2 linked regions of the Danio rerio genome follow. The protein of the gene in region 1 interacts with the protein of each later gene in a biochemical or structural test. Links are inferred from orthologs where the notes say so. Each region holds a gene or a part of one and is shown in the gene's direction. Other genes may lie near its edges. The genes, in order: dgkza and sntb2.

Region 1 (4,288 bases):
GCTGCGTTCTTCTTGATGGTCACATGACCTTTACACTTTTTAATGGAAACTTATTTAAACATTACTGCATTCATACAACGATTTATTGTTTTTCCCATTTTCACTATATATACTATGCATGTAGACCTTATAAATATAGGGAAACTACTGAGACAAATAAGTTATATCTCTAAACTTTAATAATAAATCTATATAAAATGCTGCACTTCCCACCCTCTTTATTCAGCTGCAATGACTTCTGGGATTTCTCGAGCAAGTTTTGCGATCAAGTCTGCATCGATGCATCTTCAATATCAAAAACATATTCAGGAACTATCACCCGTCCACTGTTCTTGCGCTCTTGAGTATTGGAACTGAACTTCGGCAGTTTATTATGACGTTACGTAAGAACACGAAGACGCAAGAACGCTTAAGAACACATATTGAGAAACAGCCTCTAAAACAGGCATGTGGGAAACTAGCATTAAAGCCACAGTTACAAAAACAGTTACATTGTGTTCAGAGCAGAAAATCCAATATTCTGAAATGTATAGTAAATAATCTGATGGATGGTTTGAGCTGAAACTTTACAGACAGATTCTGGAGGCACAAAAGACTTCTCTTAAATCTCGAAAAGGGGTAAAATAGGTGCTCTTTAAAACTTTGCTATTAAGAAAATATAAATATATTTTTTTTAAAAGTGGCTTTATAGCACCTCAAATGCTTGGTTAACTTGTAATAAAGTATATATTCTCTTTAATAATTCACCCAGAGGTCTTTATTTTGTTTTCTTCCTATTTTCCTTTTTTTTTTTTGGTCCATATAGGTGTATCATATTATTTAGACTCTATCAGTCCACTCCAAACTGTTTTTTGTTTTTCAGTAGAAGAAAAAACATGAGGGAAAATAAATGATTACGTGAGTTTTTGGTTAAACTATGTCTTCAGGTCAGAGATACACTTACTCTGCTTTCTCAGCTTGCCAGAACTCATTTATTTACATAATAACTTCTGGGGGTGTTTGCTTACATATTTGCATGTACTGTACATGCACTCAAATGTGTTCAGACAGTACACGTTTTTGAAGTGTTTGGTTGACTTGATCTGCATACAAGCTCGGTGTTTGCGTCAGAGGAAGCATGCTTCGTCAGTAGAATCATGCTGCTGTCTGTGATCCCCTTTCTCACTCTCTCTCACTCGCTCTATTTTTGACCCTCCCACTCTCTTAGGACAGACTGCATGCTCTCTGTTTCCCCATCCCCAGTCTACCTTCTTTCTGTCTCTATTCTCCTCTTCTCTCTCTCTCTTTCTCTTATTTTCATTCTTCTCTAAAAGTTATCTGGTGAGAGAACTGGAGAAGACGTTTGGATGATTTTGACCCTGCCATCAGGTTGTACGTTTCTCTAACTATTCACTCTACAGGGTTTAGTCGATCTGGAGAGTTGGAGTGCAGTGCTGTATCCTTTAGACTGTGATTTATGCTTGCGGTGCTTGTGGGAGAGCAAGACATGTGAGGTTTATTAGGCAAATCTGCTGGATCGTCTTGTCTGTGGCAACTCATCTGAAGATTATAAGTTACAGTGACTGTAATCTCATTGATGTCTTTGTGATTCTTTGTGATGAACTAATTTTGTATGTATTTGCATGTAGCGCTTCTGTAGTTTGCAGCCAGAAGTTTTAATCTGTTTCATGTTTTAAAGAAAAGGAGAAAGTTGTACTTATTTTGGGATTGGTGTTAGCAATAGCATTTTTTTATAACTCTAGCATGGAAACTTTCAAAATAGTGCACTCGTGCTTGGTCACTGTGTTTGTGTAATGTGAATAATAAAAATAAATAGTCAAGCACATGATTAAACTGCTGTGTTTATAGGCCACTGATTGTGAGTGTGAGAGACAGAGAGACTGTAATTTGTACATGCTGGCAGAGAGATAACTCAGATATTTATATGCACAAGCTTCTCACTGCAGACTAGATATTTATTTGGGCAAAAAGATAGCTCTGTCCATAAATTCTGATTTGCAGGAGCTTTGCCTGAAACCTAAAATATAGTGTTTAGGCAATTTGGTGTAAGACGATTTGCTACAGTATAATGTGAATGTTACCATACAGTTGTGTCTGTATGTATTAAGGGAAGCAAACCTGTTGGTGATTTCATCAGGACACTTCTTACTTTCAAGACTTGACTGATTTACCATGGTTAGTGGTCTTCTGCACTTTTCAAATGGAATAGTTCATCCAAAATTGAAAATCATCATCATTTTTTAACATTTACTATAGGGCTGCATGATATTGGAAACATTTTGCGATATGTGTTTTGCAATATGAATATAGTTTCACCAGATGACTTATTATATGTACAATTGTATCTTAATAATATATTAATAATATCTATTTGGAAAGAGTATAAAATAGTAGATCAATTAGGATGATTCTGTAGTGGGGTGCATAATCTATAAAATTTAAAGGGTTCACCGAAGTTTTTACATTGTTGTCTGCTATATTTGCAGTGCATTTCTGTATATGCATGTTTTGTGAGTATTTTCATGCACATGGTAAGTCAGAGATTGGGGAATTATTAATGTTTACTATTTGCATCTTGATAAAATCTAATAAACAACCTATAAAGTTTTTGGGGCCCTTAAAAACATTTTCTTTGTGGTCTGCATTACCTGCAGTGCATTTCTAAATATTTTCATGAATAACTATCTATAAATATAATCAATATACAATTGAAATAAAGTGTTTTATTATTTCCCAAGTCTAACTATATTCAAGTACAGTAACTAAATGATAAAAAAAAAATATATATTTCAATAAAAGGAATCATAGTTATGGTCAAAAAGGTCATTATACAGTTACAGACATTAAAACGATAAATTATAATGCAAACTCAACATTTCATATCCTGCAATGTGACTAGTGTGAATGATCACATTGCGATATCGACGCTGAAACCATATATATTGTGCAGCCCTAATACAAGTTACAAACCTATCTACAAGTTACAAAACCAAGAGTTCTCTCTCTTGCTAAACACATAAATGTTTTTTTTTTTTTGAATGATAAACAAATAGTTGATTTTAGCTATTGGCATCCACTTTTATTTTTTTTATTTTTAAGTTGAATTTAATAAATGCCATCAGTCTGGTTATCAATATTCTTTCAAATATGTTTATTAATAAAATAAGATTAAAGAATATCTTTAACACTCCAAGTTTTGATCAAACAACAACAGACTTTTCAGTTCTGGGTAAACTGCAGTAGTCAATTCCTTAAAGTACAACAAGGCAAGTGTGTGTTCACAGCAGTACCTAAAAGCCCATTTGACACTGCCAAAATGTGGAAAATCCTCGTAAAGAAGTTTAGGAAGCGAATGAGCCATGACAGCATGGGAAGAAATGAGAGCGAGAGAAACTGCAGCTTAGAAAACTGTTAGGAATTGAAACATGGCATGCACATGCTCAGCTGCTTTACATACAGGATTAGTGAATTTCCTGCTTGATGAACTGTCATAATACATGTCAGATTAAAGATTTAAGGTGCTGAAAATCTATAAAAACTCTTGGAATGTTGTCATATACATTTTTGAAAGCAAAGTATAAACATCTCTATATCTTTTGAGAACCATATAATTATTGAAATACTGCCAGATGTAAGAATTTATCCAAGATGTTAATACTTTTTGATTTATTTATTTTTATCAATTAACTACCAGACTACAAACAGATGTCTTAAATCAAGTTGGGTTCTAACTGAAGATATGCAAAAGCAATTAATTATAAAAGGTACTGTTTATAATAATTGAATTAACTCCACTGAATAATGCTCATACAAAATAAAGATAAAATATGCCCCGAGGTTTATACAACTAGGTCCATAAATATTTGGACATCGACACAATTCTAACATTTTTGGCTCTATACTCCAATGGATTTGAATCGAATCCAACCAGATTTAACTGCTTTAACTGCAGACTGTCAGCTTTAATTTGATGGTATTTACAACCAAATCAGGTGAACACTGTAGGAATTACAACAGTTTGCAGATGTGCCTCCCACTTGTTAAGGGTCCAAAGGTAATTGGACAAAATAATAATCATAAATCAAACTTTCACTTTTTAATCCTTGAAATACTTTTGCTGTCAATTACAGCCTGAAGTCTGGAACTTATAGACATCACCAGACGCTGGGTTTCATCCCTGATGATGCTCTGCCAAGCCTCTACAGTGACTGTCTTCAGTTTTTGGTAGTAGAAATGCAAATAGCACACTTGAAATGAACTCTGGATCTTTTACATGCTCATTTTATTT
Region 2 (3,826 bases), on another chromosome or scaffold:
CGTTTTAGATCAAAAACGATCCGCGTCCACACTAGCGTTTCACCTAGCGTCTCCGAACACATCTCCGTCCACACTACGCCACCAAAAACGTATATCACGTGACCATTCGCGCACTCTGGGCATGCACGTTCTAGTATAAAGAGAAAGCATGCGTCTCGCTCGGCATTTGGTTATTGTTAGTCAACAAACGCCGGTTGAACATTAAACGCGATGGCAAAGAAAGCAAGAGAGGTATTTTTGTGGACAGACGACGAGGTCGAGTTGTTACTAAACGTAACAAATGAATAACTGCAGAATGGCGCCTAAAACAGACAATAGTGCAAACAACGCTCCCATTTCTGTGTCCATGTTGTTGATGACAGTGAAGGCTGGTCTGCTGTCTTCCGGTAGCGTTAAAGCCATGTGTTATAGTCATGTGATAGGGGCTTGACGAATAAGGGAAGGATACGCAATAGCTGCGTCCCAAATGGCACACTATACACTATGCACTCATGCACTATGTACTTATGCACTTACACACTCAACAGGATAGTACATGTATGTAGTGTTGTCCCAAATGGCACACTAATGTTTTTTTACTAAACGGAAATTCAAACCGTTTCCCTGATGACGTTTGACGGTTGCCAAATCAGTGAAATAAACGAACGAATTATCAAATAAAACCTGCCGTGAGTATTGCCGCATTCACCATCGGGAGGCGCTATAATCACTCTCGTAGGAGAATTTTGCTTTCTCCATCCAAAATAAATACAGTTATCCAACATGTGCGCTCGAAAGCTCCGCCCCTTCCGATACGTAAGCAAACCTGCGGTCGTTGAGTGCGTGAAGTGTCCATCATTCCACACTTCATTTTAGCGGCTGAATGAGGGCATCATCCGGGTAATTAAAGTGCACTTATTATTTTAAGAGTTTTCAGTGTGAACACACTACTTACACTATTTATACTACAAAATGGCGTAGAATAGTGCATAAGTATGCGATTTGGGACGCAGCTAATGACACAAAAGCCCCAATCAGGGAGCGAATCTCAGCGGTCCCGCCTCCGTTTTCAGATGTCTCCGTTTTTCCTCATCCACACCGAGACATTGCAGCAGTGTGTCAGTATGAAAACAGCCTCTCCAGCATTTTCAAAACGCTCCGTTTTTGCCGCTCGAGAACTCCGCCGTAGTGTGGGCGGATGGCGTAACCGTAGCAAAACTTATGCGTTTTAAAACGAAAACGCATTAGTGTAAACGGAGCCCTAGTGTCCACTTTTAGCGAGTCTCTTCTTTTCTGCTGCTGTAGCTCATCAGCTTCAAGGTTTGATGTGTTGTGTTCTGTAGGGTTGTGCAATATATCGCAGCAAACGTTCATGTATTTTGCTTCAAATAGATCTGCACCAAAGTAAATGTGTTCACAATTATCTTACACATGTCTCCATGTTCGCAAGGTACATGTGCAAGTTGCTGATCACGTTGGTTTTCGGGCAGTACCTAATAGCGTTGCTCCTGCTGCAGCTGTGATACAGCAACAAATTTCCTTGATTATTATAGCGAGAATGAGGGAATAGCCACTTTTCATTTTCCTTTTGTCTTAATAGACGATGTAACTACAAAAGAGTCTGGCTTCAAATAGGAAAATATGTGAGTGAGATGCTAATGGTCTAATCCGATTCAATGATCTATGCTAAGCTAATAGTGCTTTAATAGCAGTGAAAGAAACTCATAAAGGTTTCTAAAAACTTGAGGCAGAGTGAATAGTGAGTGAATTTACATTTTTAGTTGAACTATCACTTCATTCAAATCATTAAAAATGATGGTCTGTTTTGACTCCGCTTAAGACCACTTGTGCTGTGTGTGCAGTGAAGTACATCAGAGAAGTGTCTCCGCTCTTCAAGAAGTCCTCCATGAGTGCAGATTTGTCCTGGGATGGCCGTCTGCAGTCTCCAAACCTCAGCAGCAGTGATGAATCCCCCAAGAGCAGCGTCAGCCGAGACAGAAAGGTCATCCCGCTCAAAATGAGCTTCATCAGCCGAAACCTCACCATGCCTGACCCGGAGAACAGGTGAGTCCCAGATCTCAGAAGCAGCTCTGTGTTATTGAGCTTGACTTTAATTCTACTGTGAAGACAGAAACTATGTTTGGATTACACTGAGAGTCAAAACTTATGATATTTAATGATTTTAATGTCTCTTTTGCTTACCAAGGCTGTTTATTTGATGACAAATTTCACTGACGACGTGTACTTGATCAAATAAATACAGCTTTTGTGAGCAAGAGATAAATGTAGTCAGATGACATTGTTGACAGTCATATTGGCAAAGAAATCGATTCTGCATCAATTCTGACATTCTCAAAATGAGTCTTTCTTCAATTAATTTTGAGCAATTTTTTAACAGCAGGTAGCACTCTTGTTTTAACCAAGCATGGTGCTCTAGGCTAGTTGTAAACCAGAGATGGTGCTTTAGGCTAGTTTTTAATCACGGATGGTGCTCTACGTTATTTCTCAACAACAGACAGCGCTATAGGCTATGTGTGGTTTGTTTTTAACCACAGACAGTGCTCTAGGCTAGGCTAGTTTTTTTTAACCACAGACAAAGCACTAGGCTAGTTTTTAGACCACAAACAGTGCTTTAGGCTAGGCTAGTGTTTTGTTTTTAACCACAGACGGTGCTCTAGGCTAGGCTAGTGTTTTGTTTTTAACCACAGACGGTGCTCTAGGCTAGGCTAGTGTTTTGTTTTTAACCACAGACAGTGCTCTAGGCTATTGAGTTGTTTTTAACCACAGACAGTGATCTAGGCTAGGCTAGTGTTTTGTTTTTAACCACAGACAGTGCTCTAGGCTAGGCTAGTTTTTTTAACCACAGACAAAGCACTAGGCTAGTTTTTAAACCACAAACAGTGCTTTAGGCTAGGCTAGTGTTTTGTTTTTAACCACAGACGAAGCTCTAGGCTAGGCTAGTGTTTTGTTTTTAACCACAGACGGTGCTCTAGGCTAGGCTAGTGTTTTGTTTTTAACCACAGACAGTGCTCTAGGCTAGTGTTTTGTTTTTAACCACAGACAGTGCTCTAGGCTAGGCTAGTTTTTTTAACCACAGACAAAGCACTAGGCTAGTTTTTAAACCACAAACAGTGCTTTAGGCTAGTGTTTTGTTTTTAACCACAGACGGTGCTCTAGGCTAGGCTAGTGTTTTGTTTTTAACCACAGACGGTGCTCTAGGCTAGGCTAGTGTTTTGTTTTTAACCACAGACGGTGCTCTAGGCTAGGCTAGTGTTTTGTTTTTAACCACAGACGGTGCTCTAGGCTAGGCTAGTGTTTTGTTTCTAACCACAGACGGTGCTCTAGGCTAGGCTAGTGTTTTGTTTTTAACCACAGACAGTGCTCTAGGCTAGTTTTTTTTAACCACAGACAGTGCTCTAGGCTAATTTTTAAACCACAGACAGTGCTCTAGGCTAGTTTTTTAATAACAGATAGAGGGCTAGTCTTTTTAACCACAGGCGGTGCTCTAGGCAATTTTTTTTACCACAGATGGCACTCTACGCTAGTTTTTAACCACATATGGAGGGCTAGTTTTTTTTACACCACAGATGGCGCTCTAGGCTAGTCAGGCTAGTTTTTTAACCACAGATGGCACACTAGGCAAGCTTATTTTTTCTTAAATCTTTCCTAACTTTATTAATTATTATTTTAGCTTTGAGTAGTATTTTTAAAGATTTGCATGCAAGCAGACTACAGCTGTTTGTGAAGCGTACAGCACCACCTGCTGGTAAAACTAAGCTCATAATCAATAATGATATCTCTAAGGATTTTTCATTACAGCTCTAATCATTTCAATATATTAACAGTA

The links.
Region 2: the proteins of dgkza (region 1) and sntb2 form a complex in vitro, tested with the Homo sapiens proteins (2 studies listed by BioGRID and IntAct, with this or other methods). The link is inferred for Danio rerio from reciprocal best matches to the Homo sapiens genes DGKZ and SNTB2.

What each region holds. Positions count from the first base shown.
Region 1 is NC_133182.1:39,269,405-39,273,692, forward strand, and holds the start of dgkza (diacylglycerol kinase zeta), read left to right. Parts: upstream 1-1,234; 5' UTR 1,235-1,371; intron 1,372-4,288. UniProt on the Homo sapiens protein: Diacylglycerol kinase that converts diacylglycerol/DAG into phosphatidic acid/phosphatidate/PA and regulates the respective levels of these two bioactive lipids.
Region 2 is NC_133200.1:37,500,154-37,503,979, forward strand, and holds part of sntb2 (beta-2-syntrophin), read left to right. Parts: exon of another isoform or gene 1-448; intron 449-992; exon of another isoform or gene 993-1,841; coding exon 1,842-2,043; intron 2,044-3,826. UniProt on the Homo sapiens protein: Adapter protein that binds to and probably organizes the subcellular localization of a variety of membrane proteins. May link various receptors to the actin cytoskeleton and the dystrophin glycoprotein complex.